3 linked regions of the Caenorhabditis elegans genome follow. The protein of the gene in region 3 purifies or fractionates together with the protein of the main gene of each other region. This does not show direct contact. Each region holds a gene or a part of one and is shown on either strand. Other genes may lie near its edges. The genes, in order: D1086.3, gfi-3 and T04A8.18.

The links.
Region 1: the proteins of T04A8.18 (region 3) and D1086.3 fractionate together in Caenorhabditis elegans (co-fractionation; one large-scale study listed by BioGRID). This does not show direct contact.
Region 2: the proteins of T04A8.18 (region 3) and gfi-3 fractionate together in Caenorhabditis elegans (co-fractionation; one large-scale study listed by BioGRID). This does not show direct contact.

What each region holds. Positions count from the first base shown.
Region 1 is NC_003283.11:14,085,006-14,094,486, forward strand, and holds D1086.3 (T20D4.11-like domain-containing protein), read left to right. Parts: upstream 1-7,786; 5' UTR 7,787-7,877; coding exon 7,878-8,021; intron 8,022-8,188; coding exon 8,189-8,281; intron 8,282-8,326; coding exon 8,327-8,611; intron 8,612-8,745; coding exon 8,746-8,808; 3' UTR 8,809-8,981; downstream 8,982-9,481. Other genes in the region: D1086.7 (CW domain-containing protein), read left to right, coding at 1-118, 177-284, 332-379; D1086.18 (T20D4.11-like domain-containing protein), read left to right, coding at 1,193-1,411, 1,608-1,790, 1,957-2,064, 2,112-2,147; D1086.19 (uncharacterized protein), read left to right, coding at 3,346-3,699; D1086.5 (T20D4.11-like domain-containing protein), read right to left, coding at 3,946-4,101, 4,157-4,264, 4,309-4,485, 5,005-5,109, 5,161-5,292; him-5 (High Incidence of Males (increased X chromosome loss)), read left to right, coding at 5,876-5,921, 6,106-6,204, 6,292-6,422, 6,468-6,696, 6,746-6,838, 7,065-7,156, 7,253-7,321; D1086.8 (T20D4.11-like domain-containing protein), read left to right, coding at 9,218-9,352.
Region 2 is NC_003284.9:14,475,443-14,487,571, forward strand, and holds gfi-3 (Protein gfi-3), read left to right. Parts: upstream 1-5,129; 5' UTR 5,130-5,131; coding exon 5,132-5,242; intron 5,243-5,292; coding exon 5,293-5,393; intron 5,394-5,443; coding exon 5,444-5,566; intron 5,567-5,755; coding exon 5,756-5,945; intron 5,946-5,994; coding exon 5,995-6,086; intron 6,087-6,128; coding exon 6,129-6,225; intron 6,226-6,569; coding exon 6,570-6,748; intron 6,749-6,807; coding exon 6,808-6,924; intron 6,925-6,969; coding exon 6,970-7,112; intron 7,113-7,175; coding exon 7,176-7,239; intron 7,240-7,293; coding exon 7,294-7,425; intron 7,426-7,471; coding exon 7,472-7,582; intron 7,583-7,628; coding exon 7,629-7,743; intron 7,744-7,834; coding exon 7,835-8,079; intron 8,080-8,130; coding exon 8,131-8,371; intron 8,372-8,688; coding exon 8,689-9,030; 3' UTR 9,031-9,260; downstream 9,261-12,129. Other genes in the region: M163.5 (DUF4806 domain-containing protein), read left to right, coding at 139-249, 302-412, 455-673, 717-925, 976-1,068; M163.11 (ShKT domain-containing protein), read left to right, coding at 3,936-4,009, 4,069-4,455, 4,500-4,667, 4,718-4,814; M163.8 (ShKT domain-containing protein), read left to right, coding at 9,979-10,058, 10,118-10,451. UniProt on the Caenorhabditis elegans protein: Probable component of the anaphase promoting complex/cyclosome (APC/C), a cell cycle-regulated E3 ubiquitin ligase that controls progression through mitosis and the G1 phase of the cell cycle.
Region 3 is NC_003281.10:4,705,158-4,716,544, reverse strand, and holds T04A8.18 (F-box domain-containing protein), read right to left. Parts: upstream 7,337-11,387; 5' UTR 7,298-7,336; coding exon 7,208-7,297; intron 6,496-7,207; coding exon 6,349-6,495; intron 5,930-6,348; coding exon 5,708-5,929; intron 5,659-5,707; coding exon 5,361-5,658; intron 4,724-5,360; coding exon 4,486-4,723; intron 4,442-4,485; coding exon 4,283-4,441; intron 4,238-4,282; coding exon 4,018-4,237; 3' UTR 3,926-4,017; downstream 1-3,925. Other genes in the region: emb-5 (Suppressor of Ty 6 homolog), read left to right, coding at 1-715, 768-958; him-18 (SAP domain-containing protein), read left to right, coding at 1,368-1,426, 1,501-1,556, 1,608-1,728, 1,773-1,865, 1,913-2,246, 2,292-3,354, 3,447-3,724, 3,773-3,925; T04A8.13 (G-patch domain-containing protein), read right to left, coding at 8,163-8,224, 8,273-8,813, 9,299-9,391; pgap-2 (Post-GPI attachment to proteins factor 2), read right to left, coding at 9,756-10,028, 10,415-10,521, 10,567-10,937, 10,986-11,026; mrpl-16 (Large ribosomal subunit protein uL16m), read right to left, coding at 11,238-11,387.

The sequences.
Region 1 (9,481 bases), on a different chromosome or scaffold from region 3:
AGTTGATTTCAGTGCTACCCCACCTCCGTCAGTTGTGACCGAAGAGTGCAAGACAATATTACAACAAAAGGACGCAATTCTGATGATTAATCTAATTAATCCAGTCGAATGGGACATGGTGAGAGTTTTATCAGTCTATGAACTGAATGGAAATTCAAAAGCTAACTTACCTTCAGCCAATTGATATGATTTTATGTATCAATCTCAATGCTAAAACTATTCCGTTGGGGTTGGAAGATTTAGCAACACTTTGTGGACAGCAGCAATCAGATGATTTGAGAGGGGTAACAATAAACTAAATATTCTACAAGAATGTTTTATTTGTTTTCAGTACATCGATAACCGAAGAAAGATTCATCACTGTGATCAGTACCCATAAGGCTTATTTTAGAATATTGGACACACTCAGTCTGTCTTGTTGTAATTTACTCATTGCGTTCTATCAAAAAAGAAGTTTTGAACCAAACTAATGATTAATAAAACGCATATTTAAGACTTTTAGTGCAATATACCAATCATTCGGTGTGTGGAAAAACGAACCCATAAACATAAACTTTAAGTAAAAATACTTTAAAAAAGAGTGGATGTGGCGAATTTACTGAAGCTGAAGTTTGGACTGCAAAACTAACATTCATAACATTGTAGAAACTGAAAAATTCGGTAAAGCGGGAGAAAAACCAACTCAAATTGAGCAGAAGGGACTGAATTTTAAATTCGTGCGCAAATGAATCGTAGACAACCACACGATCCCCATTGGTTCAAAATAAAAACATTGATTTAAATATTTCGAACATTTATTCGTTTTTTTTACAGTGACAAGTCTCACAACAAGGTCTCGTCTCGGCAGGTCCAAACAGCGGTGGGTCTCGCAACGATTGGTTTCTAGAAGATCTGAACACCAATTTTTTGTTGGGAATTTGAATTTTCAGTCGGTTATTAAATTCGATTTCCGATCAATACTTTTGCCATTCGGAAAGTAAAACAGCCATGTTCAGTAAATATTTTCTCTTTGAATTCTCAAAATAAGTTACAAGAATGTGTGTAGAAATCGAAAAGAGTTCATGTTCGCCTGAGCCTTTAAACAAATATTGATCCAGTTTTACCTTTGCGCAACCCCTCATCACGTTTGCCACAGAAGGTTTTGATTTTTATTGACTGTTTTTATTTCAAAAAATAAAGAATTTTTTCAGACATGTTGATTCGTGCTTTCAAATCAATAGTTTTAATAAGCCTTCCAAATTTTGCTTTATTAATCCCGGATAACTGCTTTAGTTCTGAAATAAGAAACGAAGCGAGGGACTGTACAAATAGACTTTCTCCAATGCTTGATAATCTGAAATCGGTGCTAGCTGGAACCCGAAAATCCTCAAATTTAATCAAGGATATCACTGATTTCTGTGATTTCTCATTAGTGAGTTTTTCTGTTTGTCAAATCAAAACTGGTGCCTGAAAATTCTTAAATTTTTTTTCTGCTAAAACTTTTGCTGAGAAATTCAATATATTGAAGCAAAAACTGCAAAATAAATTTTTAATATTTGTTCTAAATGTTCCAGTTATATTTGGTCATTATGTATACGCTACTCTACTTTTAACAATTGAATTTTCAGAAATGCTACAAGACACTCCAATTGTGTTCTGGAATTGATCCCAATCTAATTACCAATCTCGATGGTGTATGTGATATGTACAGCTTTAAAGCTAAAAAATTCGATGGATGCTACCAAAAAATGACTACAAGTATTGAAGACAATTGTGTCTACAGCTTCTTCATGACACCGGTGTATATAAATGTGGGTTCGCTAAATAATTTTTTAAACAATTTTGAAACCAAAAACCATTAGAGGAAATTATATATTTCTCTAAATATCTTCATTCAAATTAAAGAAAAAACGTTACTTGTTTTACTTTCAATTTTTGACTCAAAAAATTCGAAAGAAAACAAAGCTTTTATTCCAGATTCCTGACAAAAAGCAACGGTGTGAGACATTAAAATCAAATGGGAAATGTGTTCAGAAAAAGACAGAATCAGTTTGTTCCAAAAATTACTCCAAGGAATTTCATGATGTGAGTTTTTGTTTTTAAGATATTTAATTGATTGAAAAAGCTTTCAGCAACTAGACGATCAACTCAAGAGATTTCTTTGTTAATCTGATTTATTCTTATGTAATAAAGTTATCTTATCATTTCTCGGCTTTTCTTTCTGTAGTGATACGGTAGTGGTAAAATCAAGGTTACTTACTGTAGGATTACCGAAAGATTACTGTAGTAGTATAATTCAATTTTTGTAGGAAAACTGTATGATTCCTGTAGAAAAACTAAAAACTAAGTTTGTTTTAAATGTAATAGTAACGTATTACTGTAGGATAACTGTAAATATACGACATGACTAGTTTTGAAGCTGAATAAACTTATAAACTGTAACGATAGGTTCTGAAAAATACTTTGAATTTTTTAAATAATTCTGAAAAATTCTTGAAGCTCTTGAACGCTTCGAAAAATTTCTAGGAATCAATAGAATCGTTTTTAAAACTTGTATAAATTGCTGAAAATTCAATGGGGACTTATCAAACGTTTAAGAGATTGCTGAAAAATTTCTAGCAATGGCTAGAAATTTTGGACGTTTCTGAAAAAGTTTGAAAATTTAGAGAAATTGCTTCAAAACATCGAAGAAGGTTTTGGAGCCAGTAAGCTGTTGATAGGTTTGCTGATTGAATGTTCAAATATCCCTTTTTTAAAAATCGATTTACTATTAGAGATAAGATGAAACTCCAAATTGGCAAGAACCTCCAAACGCTTACACAAATCTAATCGATATTCTCCGATCTACCAGAAATAAAGTAATTCTCAGGCACTTGGGAAATGTCACTGTAACAAGTTGGAATTTCGCCGCTATATTGTGGTGTCCACTGTGACAATGAAAATGACATGAGGTTGTAAAACTATGTGCTCATCTACAGTCTATGCATTTATTAACAGCGTCGGTCTCATTCTTACAGATTTGCCTTTTTTTTTGTCATTGGTCTTTCTGCTACCGTTTTTTTTGTAAGTAACTCATTTTTGTTTTTGTTTAATTGCAGTAAATCTGCAAAAGCAAAGCTATAGTTTTTCAAAACATACCGTAAAATATGCGATTTATTGAAAATAAAGTGACTATCAACTTTCTCAAGAACCTTCATGTTATTTCGTAGATTATTAACGAACCTATCAGTTGGGTTCAAAAAAAACCTGAAAACTGTTTTCGGAAGTTAAACTTTTGTTATATTTGTAAATATCAACTGTAATTAATATTCAAATCTTTTTCACTATGAACCATGTTTCTAACTATATCTATCACAGATCTGAAATATGGATTACGGTCTTGAACTCTCCTCTTCATCCTCTTCATCATCATCGGAAGATGAGGCTATGCCAATGAATTCCTCGATGAAAGTTCACCCAAGAATAATGCTCAATCTGGCAGTTTCAAAGCGCCGGAAGCTTCTCGACATGAAAGAACGCGACTTTCGATGCGAAATTCTTCAGAACTATTTTATTCAGCGACTGACAAGGCACTTACGCGACTGTCGGAACAATAGGATTGCTAGAAAAAGATCGAGAAGTTTCGTGATACGTGATAGTCAAAGCTCAACACTGTCCCGCGATGAGGAACAGAGTGCGCCAAGTTCCAAGGTTACAAAGAAAGCCGACAAGAAAGAGTAAATTTCTTGCTTCTGTGATCCTATAGTTTCTTTCTTAATGCCTGTGTCATTTCTTTAATAAATCTAATAACTCCAAATAGTTTTGTAAAAAACAACAACGTGGAACTACATATAATTAGGTATACATAAATATTTTTTCAATAATCTAGCATCTTGAAGTTTAATGGAATTCTATGTAGCACGAAATTTTTTCAAATTGTTTTATTAAAACGTGCCAAAAAACCATTCGGAAAAAAATGAACTGAAATTAAGCCGAAATTTGTGTTGAATTACTTCCGAAATCCCTTTCAACATCTTCTTTTGTAATTATCCCTCTTTGCATGCTATTATCATCTCCACGAACCCGATCTTTATATCGAAGACGTCCATCGCAAGCACGATTGTAGAGACGAATATTTATGTGCTGTAGCATTATAAGTTAAAGAGATCTGCAGAAATTAATAAAATCAAATTTTCACCTGCTTGTACAGACTCAAAAAATCAGAACCACAATGCTTCCCAACATCTTCGAGAAAGCATTTACTTTTTGTCTGGATGCTCACGCAGTCGACTTTGTCCGGATTTTTCTGAAATTAAACTTACAGAATCAATGCAAAATGCTAAAGAGTACATTTTTGAGATAATCCTTAACACATTCAGAAACTTGATCCGGGGTTTTCTCAATAACTTCCTTCAATGTTTTCTCACAATAATACATTGGTCCTAGATGAAATACGTCATCAATGCACTTGTCCAGTTCCTGATAATTGACAAAATCCATGTAGCATCCCGTATTTTCCATGCAAACCTGAAGGCATTGTGAAAATGTCAAAATGAGATTTCAGCTAAATTTAACTTTTTAAAATTTGAAATTTTGAACCACTTGAAAACATTTTAGAACGATTATTAAGAGCTCTTATTATGAAATTTGGTTGTTTGGAAGTGTTTTGAGTGGAAATCTGGAAATAAAGGTACTTGTGTATTATTTCCCCTCAGTTTTTAAAATAAACTTTTAAATAAAAACGTGTGGTGTTTTTGTATTTTTAGGCTTAGGAAATAACCCTTTCTAAGCCTAAAGAATGAAAATGGACATCACGTTTTATTAAAATGGATAATATTAAAATGAGGGGAAATAATACAGAAGTACCGAAATAAATTTTATTTAGCGGAAATGGAGCACACTGAGCTAGAAAAATATTGTTTTTTAAATTCAAAAAAATATCCAAAACCCCACTTATTTGAAAATTTTATCGTGAGCTGAGATCTCAAGATCTAGCGAATACTTTTACATGCCTGTATTTCCATATGTATTACAAACAAATCTTACAAAATAATCATCACAATGCTTTCTGAGTTCAACAAGACTCATATTTTTGGTCTGTTCCGGATTCCACGCAATTGAATTATGCCTCCAATAATATTTAGCACCTTCCTTAAAATTATTCAGCATTTAAAAAAGCCAAAGACACCCATCAAAACTTACAAATAACCTGCAATACTTTATATTACTACGTCCGGGAAAAAATGAACATTCTGACTTGAAATAGTTCACTCCATTACTTGAAAAAACAGTTGAAATTGGAAAAAGTAAGAGGAATATGTTCTGGATTAACATTCGGAGCTCAAAATGAAAAGAGCAGCAGACAAGCTAGAAGCAAAGTAGAGAGAACTAAGATTGTGGATGTGACGTCAAACGTTTTCAGCGGCAGCTGCTCAGCAAGCAATCAGGTGCCATTTGTCTAGTTGTTCGATTTGGTGGATTAACTACATTTATTACATGGAAACTGTACAAATATTAATTTTTTTTCAGCTGAAAAGTCTGTTATATTCAGTAATTACGGTTTTTTTTTCAAAATTATTCTCTTACAAAATCCTCAAATATGAGCAAATTCGCGGTAATTAATGAACCATTTCCAAAAGACACCATTTTTGTTGCAAAATTAGTTCATTTTGTGTAGAATTCAAAACTTTCCGCAAGTTTAAAACAATGAAAGTCTAAAAAACAGTCTTTCTGTCTTAATATTCGAAAACTACTTCCTAAATCCAATCCAGGCCTGATAAGTTTCTACAAAACAAAGCAAGTCGTTGCGATACCATCTTCTCGTTTTGCGATATGCGCCTTTAAGATCGTACCTTAATAAAGCAAACTGTTTTTCTCCCGAAAAAGCATACTTATCATCTGGTTTTTTTTGCTGAAAATGTCCAGAATTCGTTCTAATAACGACAATATTATAATATTAACAGGTAATTTATTTTTTTAATCTATTATATCTTGCTAAATTTGAATTCGTCAGTAGCTTCAATGCTAAAAGCGGAATAACAATTTAAAAAAACTTTAATAAATGTTTATTTTTGAGGAAAACAACTCTATAAACACCAATTCATTGTTAAACATTACAAATGAACATTTTTTGGGATTTTTTTTCAGATGAACAACGAAAAACAGTTGGTCGCATCGCCGGTCGTTCACAGAACAGAAATACATCGAAAAAAATTGCCGATGGCCCATATTTTTTGCCGAGATACAGTTCGTTTTAATATATTTTATGTATTTTTCTGCAGGAAAGCTTTTACATCAATGTTTTCCAATAAAAAACTAAATAGTTAATTTCAGGAATTCGAGACAATGCAGAGAGATCAGTAGGTGCACGTTTCAAGAGTCTTCCACAAAAAGAACAAGACGAAGTAGTGAATGAAGCTTTTTCGAATCTTCGAGAATATTTGAAAAAGAGGGAACCTTTCTATGTTAGTAATTTTTAAAAACATGGAATTTTACTGATTATTTTCCAGGCAAAGCTCCGGAAAGCTAACTCCAAGTATTCCTCAAAGCCCAAAGAAAGAGAAAAATCTGTCGACTCCAATGACGAAGCTGATAGACGCAATAAGGGAAATAAGAAAACTCAAAAAAATGCGAGTAAGAACTGCCAAATTGAGAAATCGTCGAATAATTCTGGAATTCTCAAAAAAAGTGGATCAGGAATCAGCGTGGCTTCTAAACCAAAAAAATCAGTTGCATTTGGTACGGAAATCCAAGAGAAGTCAATTTTCCAATATATTACAAATTTCAGCACCAGGAGTATACGAAGATTTAAGCACCGACGATGATTTAGAGTTTTTAAATTCTGTGATTGTCAACAGTGATCGTCCAACTTCACAGTGTGGTAAGTAAACTCACATCAACATTAATGAAAGACACGATTTAATTTCGCGAAATTTTGCAATTTTGGCTACAATAATACGGTATTTAGTCTAGACACGACAAACTTGTTTTAAGCACAGGTTTAACGGGTGTGCGCCTTTAAAGATTACTGTAGTTCCGAATTTTTTTCTGCCGAATCTTCATCGAGTTTAGTTTTCCGATTTTCAGATAAATTGTTTTTGTTCCAGATAATCCGGCACGTAGAATGTGTGGAAGACCGCCAACAAAACACAGGGACACTGAACAGTCACAGGAAATCACTGGAAGCAAGAAGCAGAAAGTATGTGGAATTTTTTCAACTTTTTTTGCAAATTTTAATATCCTTATACAACGGAAATTAAATCAATAAAGCTTTATGAAAATGTTAATATTTCAGATTTTTCCGACTCCTCACGAAAAACCTGCCTGGTGGTCATTCCGCATTCCAAAAAAACGCGCTCAATAATTCGTGGTTTAATAATAGTAGTTTTTATATCCCCCCAGTATTATCTGTAAAATAAGATCTCATGTTCCATTTTATTTTGTTTATGTTTGTATCAAATATTCAAGTTAATAAAAAAAAAAATTTATTTATTGCGGCTAGGGGACTCGAGTGCCATGTTTGCACGTAAAGCATAGTGACGAGCGGAACCCTCGAGATGTCCGGACACTCGGGCATATAACTGTCCTCTCGTCAGTGGTATTGCCGCTATTTATAAACGCTCTCAGGGCCTTGCAAAAGACCCAGTGAACAATTTTTGGAGAACCCTGTCCTTTCGAGGTCAGGGTAAATGTTAGATTTCCAGAATCCGAGATAACGAGAATTTCGTTGTTTACAAATCGAACAGAAAGTAGAATTAATTGGTCTCGGAACGTCATCCTTATCACAAACACACCTACAATATCCCGATCCCAACCCTTTTTCATATGTTTTTTTTTCATTTGAATTCATATCAATTGACCTCTAAACTTGGTATATAAAAGCAACGTGTCTGATAAAGAAAAACCGACGAGAAAACAACATGAAATCTATTATCATTTTATCAGTTTTCTTAGTTTGTTCCGCGTTGGCTGCCAGTTCTGATAAGGATACTGAATCAAAAGTGGCCAGATATTTGAAATCCTGTGGAGTTATCACTTCATTGAAGACTACTAAATGTGTTAAGGTGGGTTTTATAAAATTGTTCAAGCAGGCTTCAATTGTCATGATTGCTCATGCAGTTCTTATTTTGGTGGAATTTCAAACATGGAGATTTATCACAGTAGTCCTTTTTTGTTGTACTTGCTGCATTTCGAACTATTTCCGTCATTTTAATAAAAAAAACACTTTTAGAGAAGCGATGAAGTAGATAAGGAGCTCAAAGCTCTCGTAAAGAGCAAAGACAAGGATCTCTCAAAAGTCAAGGCTTCGTGCAAAGACACCATGGTGGGTAACATCAGTGATATTAAAAACTTCTCAAATGTGTTTCAGGAATGCATTAAAGAGCTGAAATGTAAACCACTCGAAGAAGATCACAAGGAGACTCTCGACTTCTGTGGTCGTGCTCTTTTCCAGGACGAGTTCAAGGATTGCAGCAAGAAATTGCAGGCATTGAAGAAAAGTGATAAGGATGCTGCAAAGTGTTTGGAAGATTTTAAATCAGAGACAAAGAAGTCGACAAAGGACACTTGCACATTTTTGAAGGGCTCGAAAGATTGTATCAAGGCTCATATTAAGAAAGAGTGCGGGGATGATAAGTTGCAGGGATGGCAGAAGGTAAGCGGATGATGTCTTAGAAATCGGTTTAGGCTTCGGCGCAGGCCTTAAACTTAGATGCTTAGGCTTAGGCTTAGAGAGCCTCAAACTTTCATTTTCATTTCCACCAACTTTTCTAAATTTCTATTTTTCAGTTTGCTCAAGACTCGTTCAAAGAGAACGAATGCGAGAAGGCAATTGGAGCAAAATGGAACTAACTTCATTAAATGTTCTTCGATTTCTTGTTCCTTGTTACAGTAACCCTGCAAAACTGCAATAATTAATTTAAAAGTCTTTAAAATTCCGGTTGAGTACCCATTCCTCCCTCCTACATTCTTCATTTCTTCAAAGGGTTTCTCTCCAGGTACCAATAAAATTTTTAACGCGGTCATTAGAACAGAAAACAGATAAACTGGAGCAGGCGAAGAGACGCAGGAAAATAGAAAAAAGATGAGACAGAAATGAGATCAGTGAGTGGAAGAATGAATCAAGAAGAAGAAAATATTTGTGTTTCTCTTCGGTGGTTTTTTCATTCAATCTCTCCAATTTTTCTCTTGCTTTGATATCCAATTGATACGAGTCTACGTGGAGCTCACTGAGCAAATCGTAGAAATATTCAGATTTCAGATGCTTCGGGTTCTAACATTGATACTCTTTCTTGTCTCCTTGTCATATGGATTTCTTGAAGAAGCCGAAGGTGTAGACCCTGGGAATCGAGTATGTGATCCAGATGAAGAACGAGCTGCACAGAGCTGTAAAAATGTGAGTCGAATAGATTGAACTGTCCGCTAGAGAGCAGAGCTTTTTCAAAAATGAATAATGAAATCTTGAAAAGCTGTGAGATTTCTCTTCAAAATGATATAGCAACTTGCGTGACTTTGATGTTTAAGC
Region 2 (12,129 bases), on a different chromosome or scaffold from region 3:
CAGTGTGCTGACGTCACATTTTTCAGAGTGAAAAATTCCCGCATTTTTTGTAGATAAAACCGGAATGAGACAGCCTGGCAACACGTGTACAAAGAGTTTTGAAAAAGCGTAACACATTTTACCATTTACTTTTTTTAGTTGTGCAGACACCACAATGCAATTTTCCAAAATCACGCGTAACAATGAAATCAGAATATTCCAAAGATGCAATCACGAGTGTCAAAATTCAAGACATAAAAATTAGCGATGGTATAAACAATGTGAAGCTCAATATTAATGTTGAGATCAAATATAATTTCAGATTTGACAACAAAACATTCTTCTAGCAATTCTCCTCATAAGCTTGCTGAAGCTTCGACTTCAAAATCTCCATCTCCGATTTCAGAGTGCTCCCGCCGGAGCAGCTCTTCTGGTTTGCAACAAATTTTGATATTAAAAAGGCAACAACTTTCAGCGTCTACATCGAAGAACTTGGTAGTTGATAAGCATAACCTTGCTGAGAATCTAAAATCGATAGTTTCTCAAGTTGGAGGATCTGAATATACGAGCCACGTTTCCTTGAACAAAATGTTTGAGAACAAAATTGTGGAAATGTTTCATGCGACTATGTTCTCCATGGATCAAATCTACCAAATCGAAACACTGAAGACAAAACGGGAAGTATTAACCGAAGGTATGTATTTTCTAATTTTCAGCAATTTGAAACATTAAATTAGATATCGAAAAGTGGACCATATTGGAATTTGTTGCGCATGTGTCAATGCTTATTGAAGTCTTTACATCTGAGGAAAACTTTCTTCATGTCATGCAAAATCAAACCTTCGTTGAAGCCTTGGAAAACTTTTTTGTTGTCATTAAAAGAAAGAGTGCTGAAATTGTACAACGCAAGCAGAAATACAAATCTCAACTATCGAGAAAACGCCCGGTAATCTTGAATTTGTTTTGTACACAGTGATTTTCGGATTTTCTTTTCAGTTTAACAAGGGCTTCAAACATCGTTCAAAAGAGTTTGGCACGACATATAATTCGAGATGCAATGGGAATGGTGTTATCTCCAGAAAGTTTTGAATTTTTTAAAAGCTGTTTTAAGCTTTGTCTTCGCATATCTTGTAAACATTTGTATTTTTAAATACATTTTCGTATTTAAGAGACAGTTTTTTTGGATGTTTGACAAACCATGTTGCCTTCAGTTTTAGAAATGTTCAATGTAACCATACAAAATCATGTGGGATCATTTTCTTGCTTCAGGTAAAACTTTAAAACGTTCCGAACGCTATTTGGAGTTGCAAATGGTCTATGTCCAAATAAATTTGTGGAAATTGCGAAATACTTCATAACAGAACCAGAGGTTGCGCAATTGCACGAAAAATGTCTGCCGCCTGACTCTCCTTCGGTATATAAACAGCCTACAATCACCTACCCGTGTCTCGGTCCGGCGTCAGTGGGTTATCGTATTTCTCTCCCTTCGGGGAATTTCCCATCGGCATCAACTTGACCGTTGCGTTTTGAAATTTTTGAAAAGACATACAGTGTACTACTGATTAATATAATTTTTTCAGCATTTTGATTGTATAATTTTTTTTATTCTCTGAAACGTTCCAAATACTACTTAGTGTTGCAGAGAGTTTATGGAAATTCATCAATTTTTGAAAATTGCAAAACACAGTTTAACAGAGCTATCTGCCATTGCACGAAAAATGTCTGTCGCCTCACTCTCCCTTGGTATATAAACAGCCTACAATCACCGAAGTATGTATCGGTCCGGCGTCAGTGGGTTATCAAGTTTGCCTCCCTTCGGGGAATTTCCCATCGGCATCAACTTGACAGTTACATTTTGAAAATTTGTATTGAGACAAAAAAGTTGGGCTGACACATTTTTGAACAACAATTGTGAAATGAATAGGAGTACTTCCGTATTATAATTTTACAATTTCTGAAGCGTTGGAAGTACTACGTACTGCAAGTTGCAGAACGCTTATCTAATATTATAGATTTTTGAAAATTGCGAAACACAGTTTAACAGAACTATCTGCCATTGCACGAAAAATGTCTGCCGCCTCACTCTCCCTTGGTATATAAACAGCCTACAATCACCGAAGTATGTATCGGTCCGGCGTCAGTGGGTTATCAAGTTTGCCTCCCTTCGGGAATTTCTCATCGGCACCAACTTGACCGTTGCTTTTGAAATTTTTCTGTAAAACACAATAGTGAATTACAAATAAATCGGACTCTACTCCAGCAGTTTGGTTTTATGGTTTAAAAAACCTGAAACGGAACAAAATGCTACTTGAAGTGATATATACTTTAGGTACAACTTCAAACTTTAACAAGTAATCACCGACTCGTTTGTTGGTGCAGCGTCTGTCAGTTATCATTCTTGACCGTTAATTTTAACATTTCCGGAAAAAATTATGGGATACATTAAAATAACATGATTTTTGTTCACTAGTTTTAAAATTGGAGATATATATTTAAAAATGCGAAATACATTATTTATAAACTAACAGTTCTTACTATAAAATAAAAAGACTCTATGCATCTTTTTCAGAACATTATTTGTTTACGATTACCCATGTATATTACTTTGGTGTTTTTGGGCTATTATTTTTATTATTTGTGCTCATCATTTATTTGTGCTCAGCATATCGGCATTAACTTGACCGTTATTTTTTCAAATTTCGCATTCAGATAAATATCAACCACATTCAGAGTATTGAACAATAACAATATTAATATTTTTACATAACATCACATTTTCTTTTACTGCTTGAAAATCCAAACGGCAGTTCATCTGAAAACAAAACAGTTTAGCCATTCGCATATTATTTTTGTCATAAATAAATTCAATTAGTTATTTAACTCAACTTTAAAAAAAGAAAATTAATTCTCCCTATCTCATATTGCGAAACACATCTCAAACGCCAAACACGCATAAATGTCCGCTGCATTAATTCCTCATAGTATGTAAGCTCCCCGCACTCTGAGCAGTTGTTCAAAAATATTATATATCGGTCCGGCGCCAATAGGTTATCATTCCTATTCCCACTTCAGGGAACTTCCCATTGGCACCAACTTGACTGATATTTTTGAAAACTTTGGAGCAAAATTGAGTTTAAAGAAACCAAAATAAAGTTTTTTAAAGTTAAGATTTGAAGCATACATTATAATAATAGGATATATTTGAAAATTATAATAATAAGAAGTTCAGAAAGACGTAAACGTTGTTTTCAAAAGTACCCATTTTCTGTTTCTAATTTTAAAAAAAGTGAAACAGAATCCATATTAAGCATAAATTTTGCCGCAGATTTACAAAATTGGGTTGTTTCTCATATCGACGATATGATTAATATTGCTGGGTTAAGAAAGTTAAGTTTAAAGGTTTAAATTATCAGGCGAGATGTTTGAACAGAATATCCGAATTCTACAAAAGGATAAGCCCAATGCGGGGCTCGAACCCGCGACAACCAGATTAAGAGTCTGGTGCTCTACCGACTGAGCTAACCGGGCCGCGAAATTTGAAGATGATTGAAAAAAATAAATAGTGAAAAATGATATCGTTATCAAGAAAACGTAGCATGTGGCGTTTGACCTTCATCATTTGCAGACGCAGGTTTGCTGGTGTAATATCAATGGGAAAATGAAATAGTTTTCACCGATTAAAATTTTAACTGTAATAATAATTATTATTGGCTGATTTCATTAAAACATAGTTCAGAAATAAAAATTCATTTGTCTTTTTAAGATCAGCAACTTTATGATTCATATGATCGAGCGCAACTTGTTATAGACCTATGTATTCATTAATAGTTCCTCCTCTAGGTGCCAATGCTTATTAGGGGTCAAAACGTTGTGACAGTTGTTCAAACAGGAAACAGATCGGATAAAAGTTAGCCAGTGAGGGCCCACAGAACATTCAACTTTCAACTCTCACTACCATGAACACCTTCTTCGTTTTAACAATTGTTTTCTTTGTTTCAAGCGCTGAAATGTGCTCCGACTCGGCTTCAAAGTAAGTTACAGATTATTTATTCAGTTTGAAATTTGAAATTTCATTTTTTTTTCTTCCAGCTGCGCGAACTGGGTTGCCAATGGGTTTTGCACCTCTACATTCTACACTACCGCTCAGAAAACCCAATACTGCGCATCAACCTGCTCTTTGTGCTCTGATTCTTCAGATTCTAGCTCTTCATCGTCCACTGCTTCTACAAGTTCTTCTTCGTCCACAGCTGCAACGTCCAGTGATGATTCTTCTTCATCTTCTTCATCATCTTCCAGCTCCGCGTCTTCAACATCTTCTTCAGACACAACAACAGCTGACAGTTCTTCTACTACATCCTCTGATTCTTCAACAACCTCTTCCAATTCTTCATCATCCACTTCATCCTCAGATTCCACATCTGTCGTATCTTCTACATCTTCCTCAACCACTACCACATGTGTAGATTCTTTTTCCACGTAAGACTTGATTATTTGCCACTTGCAAAATAAAAACCTTCTAGATGTACTTCCTGGGCTGCTAATGGATTTTGCACTTCTTCCTTCTACACTACTGCTATCAAAACTCAGTACTGTGCAGCTACCTGCTCTCTGTGCTCTTCTTCCAGTGACTCTTCTTCGTCGAGCTCTACCGCTTCTACATCATCTAGTTGCACAGATTCAGCTTCATCGTAAGATCAATCAATTCTACTGACTAGCCTAAAACAAGTTGAACTTTCAGATGCTCATCTTGGGCGGCCAACGGCTTCTGCACTAACAGCTTCTACACAGATGCTCAACGTGAACTCTACTGTGCTAAAACTTGCGGATTATGCTAATTTCATCGTTCCTCTTTTATTGTAGTTTGTCTCTAGTAAACTGAATGCATATCAAAACCATGTCTTCATAATATCTGTTGTGTGTTGTTTGAGAACGGGCCATACCGATGAGAGAGTGCACAAAATAAGAGAGTTTTCTCTGCTACATGGTGTGTCCTCCCGCCCGCCCCTCCTCCACGAGAAACACGCCAGCAAACCAATAATGCGCCTGCAGCCACCGACCTGCACCGATCCCTCTTCATTTTTTTGAATTTTAGTCGTCTATTTTCTAGTATTACCTTTAAAAAACAAGGTTTTTATATATTTTTTTTCCAGAAATGCAGAAAGCGGCGCCGCGGCCCATCATCAAACGGAGTTATCTCAACTTGGATGCAATTTTCGGCCATGTCTTCTCAAATTTGACAGGAGAGCCAGTGACTCCAACAAAAGTAAGTTTTTTAGTTTAGAAAACCTTCAAAGTACTAAAAATTTACTTAAGATTGCAACGTTCTACCTTCTTCGCATTCTTTTTCAAACACACTTTGGATTCCGTCACAAACGTGCTTACTACAAACCATTTAGCCCCGCCGAAAAAGAACGGTAAGTAGTTTGGAAAAATTTTAAAAAAAGAAACCAAATTCATGTTTTAGAATCTTCCATTGGCTGTATGCATTGATGACGTCAGTCGTGGAGCTTTCTTATAAGGACTTCAGAATTGTCACTCGACTTGCATTTGATGACGGCCGTGAAGTTTGTAAAAACTTTTATGCAGCGTAAGTCAAACGATTTTCATTTTATACAATTAAAAAAACATTATAATTTATTGTAAACTATTATAAAAACTAGTCAAACAATTCGACAATAAATTAAATGCAATAATGTTTCTTAGCTCGATTTTCTGGAGCATTATAAGCATAATCAATAATACAAAACAATCCGCTGGCATCTCTCCATTCTTTCAGTATGGAGAAAATTGGCGCCGGAATGGCGGATGTTACTCTTAACGTTGAAGATGAGTTCTACACCAACAAGCACCCAAAGGATCCGAAATTGCCAGCAAATGACACTGTACATGAAGCTATGGACTTGGCGCGCGGAGACATTATCCAGTTTTCTTCCAATCACTCGTTTATGTACAGATGGATGAAACGAGTATGATTTTTCAATCGAAAAAATTTGTTTCAGTTTGATTATATTTCAGCTCCTGGCACAATACACCAAGTCAACTCCTTCAGAAGTGTTCCAGATAAATGCAGCCATGAAATCATGGGTTTTGTCTGCTGTTGAATCAAAGTAAGTGACGAAGCTTTGCTAAAAATACCGAAACTTTTGCAGATATCATCCCGAGTTCAAGGGAGAGTATCTTCCACACTTCATCGACTGTTCTGTCAGAGCAAGGGATTGGGTTGCTAAGAGCATTTACTTCATTCAGGTGAGATACTATTTGAAACTAAAACTCCCATGCGGTCGCCGAGCCAGCCTCACGTCGTCACCCTCGCCGCATGTACAGTGAAGCGCAGACCTCCGAACGTGTCGGCCGCTTCCAGCCCACCACCTTTTCACACTACGTTGCGCACACACCATGCTACTCATTTCACGCTGAGCTGCGGAACCCCGAACGTGTCGGCCGCTTTGAATGACTACCTCTCGAACTTCATTTCACACACACAGCGGCGCGCGGCGACGGCGTGAGGCCCGGATTTTGCGCCTCACTCAGCTGGGAGCTCTGTTTGAAACTGACAAAAGAAAAGTAATAATGTTTCCATGTTTTTACAGAAGAACCCACGTTTTGCCTTCCAATATAACGAGATGCTTCACTACACCCGGATCGTACAGAAGCGACACCCGGACGTTGTTGAAGGGTTCCTGCTAGAGGCCATTGTGCAAGTTCAATTGAAAGATAGCTCGTCGGCTATTAAGGCAATGAAATCGTTTTTCGAGTTGTCCATGTTTGAGTAAGTGTTATACCGTTATACCGCCACCGAGGTTTAAGAACAAAAAAAATAATTTTCAGACTAAATGAGAACATGGTGCATGCCGCAAAAACGCATCGATTGGCAGTTCCAACTCAAACCCCGTTGATGTATGCACCGATTCTTCAAGCCAGAATTTGCAGAATATTTGGAGACTAGTAAGATATATCAATAAAGAGTACATAAATATTCTCATTTTCCAGCCAAATGGCTCGTCTCCTGCTCCACGAGAGTCTCCAACAAGCCCAGCTCCGAAATGATGAGATTTGCCATCAAATGGCCAACATCGAAATGCACACTGTCGACATATTGGGATGCAGGGCGCTGCTTGAGGATAACAATGAAAGTGAGCTCGTCTATTATTTTTTGAATCAATAAGAACTAAGACAACAACAAATCAAATTTGCAGAAACCGCTAAGCACATTGAAAATGAACGGCGAGTTCAGAGAAAAGCCTTGCTGCACATAGACGAGTAAGTTGGATTATCTACTAGTATAGAGTCATAAAACTAATTAGTACATTTCAGTCTTCACGGACATACGCGATCCGGGCCTTGCTGTCTAAGTTCTGAAGAAGATTTTGAGCTTGTCGCAGAGATGGACTCATATGGAAAAATGCTCATGTTGATGAAGATCATTGCAGAAGGAAACTATAAGCTGTGAGCATTCAATCAGAGACGTCGCTTTAACTTTCCAAATTTACAGGATCTACGACAGAGTTGCGGAAACCGGAATAACGTGTCCAGTCGGTAATGATCTTGGAGAACGAGGACGAAAAGTGGCTGCTTATGGAGCTGCTCTGATATCTAGTAACATGTAAGTAGCTCGTTGCAAATGGCCTAGAAACCATTCTGAATTTCAGGATTCATAATGGAATGTATCATCAAGCAAAGTGCGCCGCAGAAAACATGCTGGCAAACAATTGCAGAACCGATGAAACAGACCCCTTCCAGGCTCCTTTTCAGGCCGAACCTTGGGTAAGTACAAGTTAGAACTGTGACAAATAATAAATTGGTGCAAAATTTATATGTATCTAATGAAATTCAAGTATGATGTATCAATTTTCAGGCAATTGGTGCGGTAAACCTATCTTATTCACAAGCTGGAGTCGGAAACTACGACGCGGCACTAAGAACTATTGAGGAAATGCGACAAAATTATCCGGAAGAACTTTCTTGGCAGTCCAACCGTCACGTTGTCATTTGTGCAGCTGTCATCAACTTTGAAAGATTCTTATTGAAAAATGACTACAAGGCTTGTGCTTCTGAAGTTTTGAATCTCGCAGCACACTCTGAACTAGAATGCAAGCTTCGGTGAGTTGCAATTGAAAGTATTACCTCATTTAATTTCTATAATTTTTTTAGACAAGCTCTTCTCCTCGCCGCAGCCGGAAAAGAACGGGCAAGTGTTGAAGTGTTGGAGGGATTGAACGTTGTGGACATTCGTGGAAGAATTCGAATTCACATGCAAACAGGATGCATTTACACGGCTAGTCAAGAATTTAGAAAAGCTGCAAGAGAATTTGCAGACGCCTTGAGTCTTGCTGAGAACACCACACTGAAGGACATTGTGCCAATGGTCAAGAGAAGACAAGCAACTATGCTGGTAAGCATTTTATGTAAAGAAAAAATTGCATGAATTTTTTTACGCCATCTTGATATTTCACTGAAGAATCTACAAAGTGGAGCACTGTCGTTAGGGTTTTGAATCCGTAAATTTTGCGCTGCACTCCGAAAATTATTTTTTATTCAGCCTTAAAAATTGTTTGAAGTGAGATGTTTGAAAACATAAGGTATTGTATTTTTTATAGATGTCACCAGATATGTCAGACTATACTCGCTTACTAGTTAGATAAAATAAACGTTTTCTGAGAACATCGCATTTATCAAATGAAAAACAATTTTTAGAATCTAAATTTACAGATGTGCCATGGTCAGTATGTCGAATGTCTGAAACTTTTGAAAGAATGCAATGAAGGCATTGAACAGTTTGGATCATTTACCGAGAAGGCGTGCTACTACATGACAGCGGCCAGATGTCATCGATTGCTAGGGAAAGATCCGCGGATGTGGTTGAAAAAATCCCGTGCCCTGGTCCGCAACGGGCAATGGCCGGCGTTTACCAAGCTCGTCCTCTCCGAAATTGCTGCTCTTCATGACGTCAAAGGACTGATGCCTGATGAAAATCGTCTGTCGCAGATTTGTGAGCAATTTGGTAAACTGACTGCTGATTGTCCCGGCCGATGCGAATGGCTCCTCATCTGATGATGTTTCAAACCAATATTCTTGTACACACTTTTAAAGTGCTTCATTATCCAATCCCAAAGACCCCCGTCTGTTCTTACATTCAACGATCTTGTTTCAAAACTCAAACAGGTTTATGAGCTTCACAGTGTATTTTTACGAGTCTTTCTTGCTCTATTTGATTTTGAATTTATGAACTTTTTGTAAAAAAATTGCTTTTGAAAAATTGGAAAAAAAATTGAAAAGGAATGTTTTATTGCAATTTTTTTGATTTTATTTTATTGCAGATACCATTTGTGCAGTTTGAATGCTTCTTACCAAATGTCAGAAAACATATTTCTGGTAGCTAAAATACATTTACAACTGTAGCAAAAACGTGTTGTGCAAGTTTTTTAATAGCAATGAGATGTCTATTTTTTTTTAAATTAAATTGAATCATTATCGAAAGTGATTAATTATAGGAAATTACGAAGAATAGAAAGGATTACTTTGTTATTGGATGTTTTACATGTTCTCATGTAAATTTATTGCTAGCCAAACTTATTTGTTGTTTTAAAGCGTGACCTCATTGAATCAAACGTTTTTTTAAAGATTAGTAAAAAAATTAAAAATTAACCGGCTACTGAAAACCCCACCCCCGCAAAATTCCTATTTTGGGTGAAAATTCCGTATTTGCAGTGAAACAATGCCAACTGAAAGCATCACTCCAGTTACTCATGACAACTCAAATAGGATATGTGTACATAATGATTAATTTTGCTAACTTTCCATATCCGTTATAACAAATGCAAACATCGTTTTTGAAAATGGATACTGTTAGGATCAAACACCTGATGATCCCACCGATTTGGCACTTTAATGGATCAACTAACTTTTTGGAAAAGCTGAACAAACGTAAAACAGTTTTATAAAAGGCATTCTATCAGAACGCATTGTCAGAACACATTCAGTTTTTGAATTAAATCAAAAATGTCATCTACTTCTTTGTGCGTCTTGGCTGTTCTTATCATCTTCTCTACCGTAGAAATGTGCATGGATGTTAACCCAAAGTAAGTAAAAATTCAGCATTTGCAATTTTTTATCACTGCTGGAATTGATAATTTTCCAGCTGCGCTAACTGGGTATCCAACGGATTCTGCACCTCATCATTTTACTCTGATGCTCAAAAAACCGAATACTGCCCTGCGTCCTGTAGGCTTTGTTCGGGTGCTAGTAGCACAACTTCCTCTTCGGCTTCTTCGTCTTCTTCAACCTGCGGGGATAGCAACAGTAATTGTGCAAGCTGGGCTTCAAATGGGTTCTGCAACTCCACTTTCTACACTCCTGCTCAAAAAAGCCAATACTGCGGAGCCACTTGCAACCTTTGTGGTGGCGCTTCTGTGGAAACTTCTTCTGGAGTTGCAGCATCAACCACAGCAGCAACTGCTACCACTTCCGCCTAAATTGAATTATTTTTTGTGATTATTGAATGTAGGTAGCAAGCAATAAAGCATTCATTACTTTTAATACGTTCAATTTGTGGAACAGCAACACATTTAGAATGTTTTTTAATTTATTATTTCGAATTTTAATTCAAAAATAGTTAATATTGACATTACTTTAATTTAAAATTGTTTCATTTCAGAACACGGTCTGAAATTAGCTCATCGCTACTCAAACTCCACATGAAGAAAAAACGTATAAAGGAAAACCAAGACAAAATGTTCAAATTGTTAGTCCAGATATTTGAAACGCACATCAGAGTTTGGCAAAAAGGATAAGCCCAATGCGGGGCTCGAACCCGCGACAACCAGATTAAGAGTCTGGTGCTCTACCGACTGAGCTATTTTTACTTTTAGTTTATGCTTAGTTCATAAAACGCCTTTTTAGGATTGCTTTTTGTACTTTTTTTTAACTTAAGAGTTTGTTGTTAGGTGTTGTTAATAACAGAAATGCTGCCTTAAAATTCAAACCACCTAAATTTGAATTATAGGTATTGCTATCCCTCGATGGTTTTTGGTCCATTCCTACAAAGAACCTTCTTAAGAATCTGAGACTAAGCTCATATTGCGCCATTTCGCTCATTTTACCATGCACAAGTAGACAAAAATACTCTTCTTCCTCTTGGCTAATTACGCAACGAGACCTGTGCAAATAAACGTGGCCACCGACGACGCAACACTCCGTGAACAGGTGCACTTCTCACCTCCTTCCATCTGTTCCGCTCTTATTATTACGCCATCTACAGAGGTGGGGGAAAATGTCGGCGGAGAGAGAAAGGTGCGTTCCCACCTGCTGTGCGATGTCTAGCGCACGCCTCATTTGTTCTGGATGCGTAAGAAGAAGAACGGAAGAAGATGAGGATAAAGAGAAGAGGATAATTAGATGTGCTAATTACTTTGTTTAGTTTCAGCTCTATAGAATTTGAAAACAGGATGTGGGAAGAAATTAAATCTGAAATATTTTTTGTTAAGTAGTTGTGCACCAAAATGTTCCCAATTAAGCAATTTTTTCAGCACAAAAGTAGTTATTCGAATACTTTTAGGACCTTAGGCAATAATAAGTTCTTCCTAAGCCAAATAATACCAAAAAACTTCATTATCTGAACATACTTTGATTTTCAGCTATAAAGAAGTATACTAGTTGCCAAATAGTCTAAAAAGCGGTGATGTCTCTTCAATTCAATTCAACATATTTTGTCTTTTTTTTTGTACTGTGAAACTGAGATAAAAGAGCACTTTGCTTATTCTCAGACATTTTAAAGCATGACTACACCAAATTAGTTATTTTATTAATTTGAGATGTGATTTTAGTTTATTTCTTTAGTTTATGCTCCAGTTGTGTCTCCTGAACCTGAAAATGTCTTGGCAGTAATTTCCTAATCCCATGAAAAATTAATTCGTGAATAATTTTTCAAATATTTTTTTTCTGAAAATTCCAATATCAAAATTCAAAATATACACATTTTTGTCAAAGTCACAAATCTTTCGCACCATTATTTAGTAGCAATTAATTAGCAATCAGTTAACAATCACATTTTCCCAAATAACATATTGCATGTCATTAGCATCGCCCAAATTGCTATCTCTTTCAAAAATCTGCACTTATTCGCTAACTTGATGGATTAACATTCTTCATCCC
Region 3 (11,387 bases):
GACAATCCATTAACCCGAGTCAAGATAAATCAGCCATATTACTTCAAAGTTCTCAAGTTGGACAAGGAGAGATTCTCACTATTCCTAAGTTGTAAGAGTTCGGATCTGAAAGAAGATGATTTATCTCAACGTGATCAGTACTGGGATGAGCATCAATACCAAGCTGATTTGGAACTGATGAAGAGTGAATCGAAAAAGAAGACAGAAGCAAATACACGTGTGAAGCGAGTAATTGCGCATCCAAATTTCCATAATGTATCCTACGAAGCTGCTACGAAAATGTTGGATGAAATGGATTGGTCTGAGTGTATTATTCGTCCATCGGCTAATAAAGATTCTGGTCTTTCTGTGACATGGAAGATTTGTGACCGCGTCTATCACAATTTCTTTGTCAAAGAATCCGCAAAGGATCAAGTTTTCTCCATTGGTCGGCAACTCTCAGTCGGCGGAGAAGATTTCGAGGATCTTGATGAGTTGATTGCTCGATTCGTTCAACCGATGATACAGATCTCTCACGAGATAACAACTCACAAGTACTTCTTCCCAAATGGAACATGCGAAGAAACAGAAGCAGTCGAGCAATTTGTACGAGAGAAGAAACGAGAGCTGGGACGATCTCCGTACGTATTCAGTGCATCCTACAGACAGCCATGCCAATTCTGTATTTCTTATATGTTCGATAATACAGAACGGATTCGACATGAATATTTCAAAAGTGAGTTTCGAAAAGAGATACGAACAAAGTTTTCAACTATTTTTGTTTACAGTTGTCCCACATGGAGTCCGATTCCGACATCAAAACTTTGATACGCTAGATCGAATGATGGCTTGGTTCAAACGCCATTTCCACGAGCCTCCCATCGAGTTAAGGCGATCTGCGATCCCGGCTCCACAGTATCGAGTTGGTGCTCCTCCAGCAGCTCCATACTATCCTCCTCAATTCGTCGGCTATCACTGAAAACCCTGATCTTATTCTCTTTATTACCCACACCTTATCAGACACATTCAATCCTGTTTCCTTTGTTCCAGTCTATCAACGATGATCTAATTTTAATTTATAGAATACAACATCCATCTGTCTTAATCCCACATAATTTGTTTTGATTTCGGTAATCCGTTCATCCTCGATTTTTACTTTTCAAACATTTTTATATATCTATCAAAATATTTATTCAAGCAGTCATACTGTTCATGAGCTCTTTCTGTATTCAAGTACCATTTTTGTTGTTTACTCAATAAATTTCGTAATCAGAATCACTGCTAAATCATCACGAAAAAACGTAGAATGCGTTGATCACAATTGATATTGGAATAAGAATTGCAAATTCAGTTTTAGAAGAAAAAAAAGTATTCTAGATTCTACTCATATGAATGATTCATCACTAAAAAAGGCACTGTCCCAAAACTCGATCTCATCCGCGCCAAGGTAGTAAGGTTTTTGTTTCTGTCGTATCTATTTAACCTAAACGTAAATTAAAAAATATCTGTCTTTTTTTCTAGGCGTCCTCAAAAACTTGGAAGTGTGCAGAGTATTGTAAGAAATGAATCTGACAAAAGTAAGTTTCAAATCAAATTTCCCAATTAAATCAATTAATTTACTTTTTGAGATGTTCCTTCTCCTTTCGAAGAGATCACACTGAGCGACGATGATGAAGAAGCACCGGCTAAGAAACCTGTAAAATGTGCGACGTGTGCACGAGATATGACTCTTTGGATGAATTCCAGAAGGTTTGAAATATTATTTGTGTTTCTTCTCACTGTTCAAATTTTAGAGATATTCATGTAAAAGTTTGCAAAGCGAAACAATCAGAGAAGGAGAAGGAAACTACAAGAAAATCGAAAACACTCACCGAAACCATAGAAAAGTTAGTTTCAGTAGAAGGATATTCTGTGATGCAAAAACATATTTCAGAGATGATCAAGTTTATGAGAAGCCATCTTCAAAGACTCATCTATTTGAAAAACCTTTCGAAAAACCACAGGAACTTCCAAAATCATGGGAGCTATCGAAGAACAACGTGAAATTTGCACGAATCGCTGAGGATGATGAGGAAAACCGAAAACGGAAGCGTCCTCGATCGTTTGCAGTTGTGGAATTGGCACCGAAAAAGTGTCAATGTGAGGTTCTTACGACACTTCATTCAAGATTTATTGACGAGTTTCACAGTAAATCTATCAAAAATCAAAAGAAACGAGAGGAAGGAGTGACTGAGCATGCGTTTCAAATGAAGAAAATGATTGAAAAAGTAATTTTCTAGTTTATTATAATTTAAAAAAAATCACTTTTTCAGATTTCCCGATACGAACAACTCTCATCTGACATGCAAAAAGTTCTTGATGACAATTCTGAACAATTACCAACTCACATTTTCATTACCTGCAGTGATGGTCATCGTGTAAAATGTCAGACAATGATCTTGAAACATCGGACATCACTTATCAGACTGAACCCTAAATCTGAAAATATTCAAGTCGAGCACACAAAAGAAGTTGTGAAAGCATGGATTTCATTTGTATTCACTGCAAATATCGAATGGAATGATGATGATAAGGATGGTGTGAGGGATTTGGCTTCGAAGTATGGACCTGTAGGATTAGACTTGATTGTGAAAAATGATAAGGAGGAAGATCTTGAGAAAGTCGATGATGTTGAGGACGTGGTAGAGCCTGAAGCTAAGATAGATTCTGTAGTAGCTGATCCTGTAGAAATAGAGCCAACTGCGTCTCATAGCGACCCAATCGAACTTGATAAATCTGTGAACTACTTCACATCTGATGATCCTTTCTTTGGATTCGGAAAAGCTGTCGAAAATGTGGAAGATGATGCAGAACAAATCATGGAAGATAAACCACATGAATCAGTACACTCTACTCCACAGAAACCAACTACTAATGTGACAATGGATTCATTCGATGAATGGAGCAATCAACCGTCTACAAATCTTCCAACTACATCCAATGTCATTACTCCAATCCGCAACATTACCTCAAAAGCTGTCTTCGGATCCCATGTCAAAATTCTGAAGACCAATGATATAACTCCAATGCCTGCATTCGATTCAATGGAAGAAGCAGAATTAAAAGAACGAATGAAAGAGATCGGGATGCGGCCAAAAGGAAAGAAAGCGATGATTCAGATTCTGAAGAAAGCATATATCACATTACATCCAGAAATTTGCTCAGGAACACCTACAATTCGTCCGCTTGTCAGATCTGCAAGTTTAGAAAAGGTTTCGGAACAAGGAGGAAAGGGTGGAAGGAAAACAATCAAGACGAAGACATTAAGTGAAAGAATGATTGCATCGCCGAAGAAAGTTTCTCCTAAAAAGCAAGGAGTCAAGAATGCTATTTCTGGTGAGTTTATTCATTTTCAATTAAATTGAAAAATTGCTAGACATTTTATCTAGTTGCTTTAGAAGGATATTAATATTATATAATAGTTTCAGATGAAACTTCCAAAAATGTATCCAATGTTTCCGATGATCTGGATGAAGATAATGATGGTGATAAAACATTGAATATATCAAATGACGAGCGAGAAGTTGGAAAAATTTGCGGTGATGACGTTGGAGACGATGAAGAAGATGATGATGATATGTCAGCTTCCAGTACCAGTGGCAAACATGACTTGAGTGCATTGAAATTGGCATTTTTAACATGGCTTCGAAGTGATCAGAATACAGTTTTACATGAGCACATTCTCTCACTCCAACCTGTATCCTTGGTTAGATTCCAAAGTTTCCACAACTCTTTGTTTATTGTAAATTTTCAGGAAGAAATGTTGATTCGTCTAGAGAAAGCTGACGGCCCACTTGGAAGGATTGGAAAAGGAAAACTGGTGAAATTACTGGAAATGCTGAAAATCACGTACCAACTTCCACAGAAGACGGGAAGAGCACGTGGCGGCTACAAAAGAAGACTATAACAATTTTTTCCATGCAATTTTATGAAGAGATAATTAGGAATATAATATGTTTTCACGGAAAATCAGAGAAATTCAAAAAATACAAAAAAAAATTAGAATTGAGTTTCGTTAATTCCTGATCTAGTTCTGTAAGTAATTAATCCATATTCGTCAATTCTTGGAGCACATCCAGTATTCGCGAAGAGTACCATTTTATCCCGAATGTACAAATGTGCAATCTTTGTTGGATCCAAGGCGCTGTACACTACATATCTTACCATTTTTACAGTTTGCACTGGTTGCGGCTTTTTCGGGTTCTCTTCAGCAATACAGCTGAAAATAAGAAATATAAAACCTTTAGAATGTCTAAATTCTAACAATTTAGGTCCATATTTAGCTTCAACAAACTCCACAATTAGTCGATCAATCACTTCTTCTACTTCCAATTCGAGATGAGTACTTATAGCCCACCAACAGAACTTATCGGAAACACCACCGTGTGCCCATTTGTCAATATAGTCACGCATTCTTTCTTGGCTGGAAATTCAGAAATTTATAAAAATTAAAAATCTATAATTCACCTAACAAAAGAGTCATGAAGAATGAGAATTCGAAGATCCTTATCAAGCATTTGATCACAAAGAGAACGATCGTTTGCACGCATCTTGAACCAATCAATCAGTCCGTGACGAGCTACAGTAAGCAATGAGAACGGCCAAAGATACTTTATAGCGGTTTTATGCATATAGACATCAAATGAATATGGTTGGAAGAAATCATATGTTTTATGGATTGACTCAACGTCATCATAGCTGGATCCTGTAATTTTCCAAATTATTACTGTTTTAAAACTTTGAGAGAGAAATAAAGTTGATTGAATTAGTTTTCATTATATATAGCAGTTTCAAGTTTGTGTGATCCTAGTCTTGTTCTGTGAAAAAAAAACCAACGAAATTTGACACTTTTTGAGGAACCAGTACGGTACCTGGTCTCGAAACGATCGAAACATTGCAGCTACAGTATCCGAAAGTTGTTCTCAATTCTCAACTCCTCCAGTATTTTTTAATAGTTCTTGTGTTGAAAAAGTTCCAAAAAAGTTACAAGCGTTTGTGTCAAACATTTCGAAACGTTGAGGGAAACTATGGAAAAGGGGAAATTCATAAAACTTATGGTTACGGTAGCTGCAAAATTTCAGTCGTTTCGAGATCCGGTATCGTAATTCTATTGCAAAAACCGCGAAACTGGATATAATTGAATTTTGTTTGATATAAACTGATTCAAATACGCATGGGCATATCAAGAAAACTTAAAGAAATGTGTCGAAAAAGTCGGATGCAAGAAAAGTCGATAATAGGCTCCGCCTATATCTTGGCTTTGGTTTCATTTCTCAACCGAACCTCTTTTTAGTTTTCGGTGTTAATATAGAACCGAGTAAGAAAAAAACTCAACAACTTACCGATAATGAAGCTCTTCTGAAGCTCCGGAATCTCAAAAACTTTTTCTGGCCACCCGGGCAAAGCGAGAGACGATTTCTTACAGTCCTCAGTGATAATTTTGAAAAAGTCTTTGGCGGTTTGCACGGCAAGATCAAATGCATTTATATTTGGAATTACAGTCTTCTTGATTTTTCCTCCCGGGGTTAACCAGTACACTTTTGTAGCGCCTGATCTTCCAAGAAGCGTTCGACGCTCCTCGCAGAAGCAAATTGCAATATCGTGCTGCCAATCGCAGATGAAGTTCAAAAAGTATCTTTTCTGAAAATATATAATGTTTTCCTATTGTTTTACCTATGGAAGAACTTACACCAGGTCTTGAGAAAACTCTCCAATGAAGATCTGGATAACGAAGAAGATTTGAAGTACGACGGCTCACATCATCCATGACAAAAAGTTTGCATTCCACTTTCATATTCTGTACAAGATATCGTTCTCCTTTAGATGTGGCTGCCAGGCTGATTCTTGATTTTAAAGGCATTTTGTGAATGATTTGCTCGCGAAGTCCAACTGGAAGATCGAGCCATGGAAACTGAAATTTGAAATTTATTTAGATGAAAAAAAATTAGGAAAGTTTATAAATAGAATCAAGAAAATCCACTTCACTGGAATTTACGACCTTGGCGAGCTACCGTATCCCCATTGCCACTTCAAAATGAATCTCATTTCTCAAGCCATAAATTTAGTCGAATGTACATTTTTTTCATCTTCTTTTCTCCCTCCTTTTCCTCTCGCTTTTCAATAAAGAACGAGAGGAAGTTTTAATGAGAAACATATCATTCTAGATCCAAATCGGACACCTCTTCAGTTTTAGGGTGTTAAATATATTACGGGAGCAAACACCCTCCCACGTAGGTACAAGAGTGCCTACCCACCTGCCTTCCTTAAAGGCGACCTACGCTTAGCTTGAAGGCGTACCCCTAGAAGCTCTAGCTGTGAGATTTTACCAACCTGTTCTTCTTCAATTACTTCCTGAATCACCGCCAACTTCTCATTATTCAACTCTTTTGGTTTTCCGATTCGAGTCGTGAAGAACTGCTTGATGTTGAATCCAAAATCCACATGACGTTTCGACAAATCAAAACGTATTTGGGGACGCTGAAATTTGAAACTGATACTTTGGATGAAAAATGAATAAAGCAGAACACAATGACATCAGAAAAAGATTTCCATGGGAACATAGTTTTTGTGTTTTTTGATTCCGTGTTCGAATTGTTACTAATTAATTTAAAATTATCCTATTTTCTGATAAAGCTTTACATATCACGTGGTCTCTATGTTTTTCAAACTTTGAAGTGATGTTTTGGAATGTTTCTTTGTGTCATTTAATAAATAAAGTCAATTATAGTTTCACACATAATAGTAGAGTATTTATCGCTAATTGAGATTTGTTCAAAATATACCAAAAAAAATTAAAAACTGAAATCTTTTTAATGTTATTTAAACTTTTTGCCAACTTTCATTTTACCCTTTTGAAATTAATTTTTACAATGACATTTGGTCATTTTGCCACCATGGGGGGGGGGGGGGTGATGTTCTAAAAATCCAAGTTTAAACATTTATTTATTTCGAAAATTCCTGAAAAACAATTTGGTCGTAAAGATTTGAGCTTTTGAATAATCACAATGCTTCCTACAAGCAGGCACAAGAATACCTAGCTATGAGCCTACAAGGCATAGGTAGCTCGAAATTTCCATGATTACACAGAAGCTCTGATGGAATAATTCAAAACTAGTTTGGAGTTTGTTAGAACTGGTTATTTTCCTATTAGTAAAGCACACATTGCCTCAACCAACTATAAGCTACTTACTGGTTTAGTAACTCCAATTTTGAGATGTCCTCCAAGAAAGTCTAGAGCCGAAATACGATCATCTGGATGTTCCTGCTTGCTCAACGACATTGCTCCACGGATTTTCTGCAAAAACTCACGAGTTTCATTAAAAATCGAACAAAAATTCTGGATGTGTTGAGCGTGGAGGCTTTTTTCTCTGGAAAAGAAGAGAAAATGGGCAAAAACAGAGAAATGTGAAGACGTACTAGACTACTAGAGCAAACGAGAAATATGTGGGCGGAGTTGAAGCTCAACGGAGCACTCACACACGAGAAGAAGAAGAAGAACATCGATTTGGAATGTGGAGAGAAGGAGAAGAGGAAAAGAATGGCAAAGTGCCATGGGAAACGAATTCTGAGAAGTACGGAAACTGGAAACGATGTCTCTTGAAATGTAGATATATCCTTCAAATGTTTGGTGATTAGGGAGTCATTTGCATATTTTTTTATTGATAAACCAGTGATGTCTTGACTGACTTTATCTATGGATGTATAGATCGGAGGAAAATCTAGTGATGTGATCATGTAAAATGTTTTTGGAACAACTTATTAAAACGATTTTTTGTTGGATAATTTTAAACGTTTAAAGCAGTTAACTAAATAGTGCAATTGGTTCCTGATTCAGGATTGTGGAATAATTGGAAAATGTCGAAAGAAGCAAGTTTATATGAATGATTCTAAAAATTATGTGCCTCCAATCTCCATGGAAACTTTTCAAAACACGTTTGCTTACATAGACGCAAACTTCCGAGTATTGTTTTTATTCAAAGTAGAATGTAGTCGATTATATAATTGAATCCTTGGAATTTTTAACAACACTCCCATTAATTGAGAAAAAAAATCATATATTGCAGAACACTGGGCATTGTCAAAATAATTTTTACAAATTAAAACTCTTCATTAGACCCCGGACAGTACTATTATACGAGTTGCCATCAAAGCACGACGCAACACGCGTTCTTCTTTTTTGGAGGCGGACGACGTGGTGTTGGAGGCGCTGAAAAAAAATCTTATTCTCATAGTTCTTTGTAACAGGACCACTTACGAATATTCTGACGTGGAGGAGGTGGGACCAAAGCAGTTGATGCTGGCGCAGTTGATCCTTCTTTCTTGATAGTATCCACACCACTTTTATCATCCTTCTTCGGATCTTCTTTGACTTTCTCTTCTTTCGTCTTCTCCTTTTCTTTCTCTTTATCATCCTCTGTCTTCTCCTTTTTCTCCTTTTCATCTTTCTTTTCTTCTTTCTTTTCTTTTTTCTTCTCCTCATTCTTTCCCTCATTATCCTCGGTTTTTGTCTTTTCCTTTTTATCCTCTTTGCTTTCTTCTTTCTTGTCATCCTTACTTTTTTCCTTTTTCTCATCATTCTCATTCTCTTTCTTATCCTCTTTCTTGTCTTCTTTCTTTTCATGTCCGTCTTCTTTCTTCTCTTCCTCTTTCTTTTCCTTTTCATTCTTTTCTTTTTCCGCCTCTTCTTTGTCCTTTTCTTCGTCCTTCTTCAATTCAGCAAACTCATCTTGTAACTTTCTCTCCCTTTTTCGAGCCTCCTTGTCTTTCTTGTCATCTCCAACAATTTCCTTTTGATCCTGAAAATTTTTAACATTCCTGTGGTAGCGGGGGCATTTGCAGCGTGGCCGCGAAAATCGGTGGCCGAGTTTGCTCTTTCATAACGACACATTTTTCAAGCTGGCGAATGAGGATACTCGAATTTTCTTCTATGAACGTGTGTTGAAAGTTATATTATTAGGTAGTGTTGCAAAACCGATTTTCCAGAAAATGCTTCATAACCATTTCATGAAGGTGGCCGAGTTTTCTGTTTCGCGGCCACGGCCATGTATTAAAAAACGACATGGTCACCGAGACAAACGTTTCCAGACTAAATATGTATACAAAAACTTATATTAAAAAAATCAACTTGAAAGTGTGTGAAGTTCAAATACAGTCATGTGCAGCTTTTCCTCGAGGAATACACGAGCCGCGTAAATTGACACATGGCCGTGTTAGAAGGACGCATTTCGGTTCTTCCATTATTTGATGATAAAGGCGCCCGTGTGCCGAGAGTTATACTTACCATACCAAGACCTTCTTTCTTATCGTATCCAGGTTTCATAATTTGCTTTCCTGACTTGGTCTTTCCCAGGTTCTCAGTTTTCTTATCGTTCATCTTATAGTGGCCACTTTCTGGTAAACTTGGCAAACGATTCGATTCCGTTACAATTTTCGAGAAATTGATTCAAATGTAGAAGTGATTCATATGACGAAGGAGGGAGCAATTTTTGCATATTGTAAACTAGGGTGTCGCGTGAAGACTAGAATGCCACGGTAAGGCTATTTGCTTCTAAATTTCAGTGTGAAAACAAATATTTTTGAAAACCATTTATATGAGAAAATGCAAGTGAAACATATTTTTAAAACCCGAAGCAAACCGAAAAATTAGAAGCTTTTCGAAACAATAAATATTGGAATAAATAAATATATATTATTATATCATGCAATAAAACTGTCATCACATCAGGACCCATCAATTGTTACGTATCCTTATCGATTTGAGTTGGCAGAAGGTTGTAGTGTCCGCCTCCAAACGATGAGGTTAACACAATATTTTTGCCATGGAAGTCATAATATAGAGTACAATGGAAGAAAATGTTTGATAAAACGGCAGAGTACTCGACAAGTGCGAAGAGCGTGTAAATTCCTGGCTCGCAGTACGTGTTATGCCTCCAATAAAGATATGCTCCAAGGAAAAAGCATAGAACGAAAATAGCAGCTCCCAGGATTTTATATTCGTGCGAACGTTGACCCTGCAATTTCAGTATTAATTTTCTAAATTAATTTCTCACAGATAACAAGTTTTGGAGAATAAATAAAAATTTATGAAAATAGTTAGACTTGGGGGATAAAGGTTTTTTTCGTAAATTGTTATTCAAGACGCCAGATTTTGCCAAAACTACGGTGACCGGACACGACATTTTTGTCTTTAATACAAACTGATGTGCGCCTATGAAGATTACTGTAGCTTCAAACCTTTTTGCTGTAGAATTTTCATCGATCCATCTTTTGTTTGTATTTTACAGAAAAAAAGGCGTGTCGAGTACTGTATTTATGGCGAAACTACTCGTGTCTAGATAATATTTACTTTTTTATTTACTAATCTCTTTAATTTTCAAGATTATGTGAGCAAACTTACCAAATTTGTTGCAGTTCTCCTTCCAGTTTCATTGAAAAGCCATGTGCTCAAAAGCATGTATATAATCGAACAAATAGCAAATCCACCGAAGCATTTAGCATGAAGAGCTGAATTTAAAAATAGTTAACTATTTCATACATTTTAGTTCTTACAGTGATCTTCACTTGATGAAATCGATGTTAATGCCAGAAGGAAGAAATTCTCTAGAAGATTGAGAAAGCAAGCCAAATTGCACAAAAACCGAAGCCTTTTATGTCCAGTAAGAGGTCGTAGAGGAGATCCCAATAAAAAGTTTCTGAATGCAATTGCAACTACCAATCGGGGTCCAATATGCAATCCGATTAGAATTCTCCAAATATACTTTTCAGGTGTATACGTTGAGACTGCAGCTGATATGGATGGTAACCAGTTGGCAACTTCACAATGTGTAGATGTTGCCTGATCAAAGTGCAGTAGAAGAGATAATATAACACATATTAAAAGTGCTGAAGATGGTAGACCTCCGATACAGATAACGAAATACCTGGAAGAAAAACATTAAATTGAAGATAAAAGTGTGCATAAAACTCACTTGAATGGGATTGAAAGAATATCATCGTCTCCAAATGCCATCCAATCGGCTGACTTGAAATATTTAGTTTTAAAAATAAATTGAAAATTATCTAGATACAGTGTTAGACTGCGCAATCAAGCTTTTTGCATAAATATAATACTCTTTGAATATTTAGGTTAAGGAGAATCTTCATAGTAACAACAAAAAAGTTCAAAAAAATAAAAACAAGACTACAATTTCTAAAAAAATTTCCATGAGAATTCTTGGGGACTATCGATATTTTCCTTTCCAGGCGACATCGTAGCTTGAAAGCCAACTGTTACAATTCTGCATGTTGTATTTGATGACTTTACCCCAATTAAATCCATTTTTGTTCATCGCACGTTCTTCTTCAGCCTTTTTACGTCTTTCTGCAAGCAT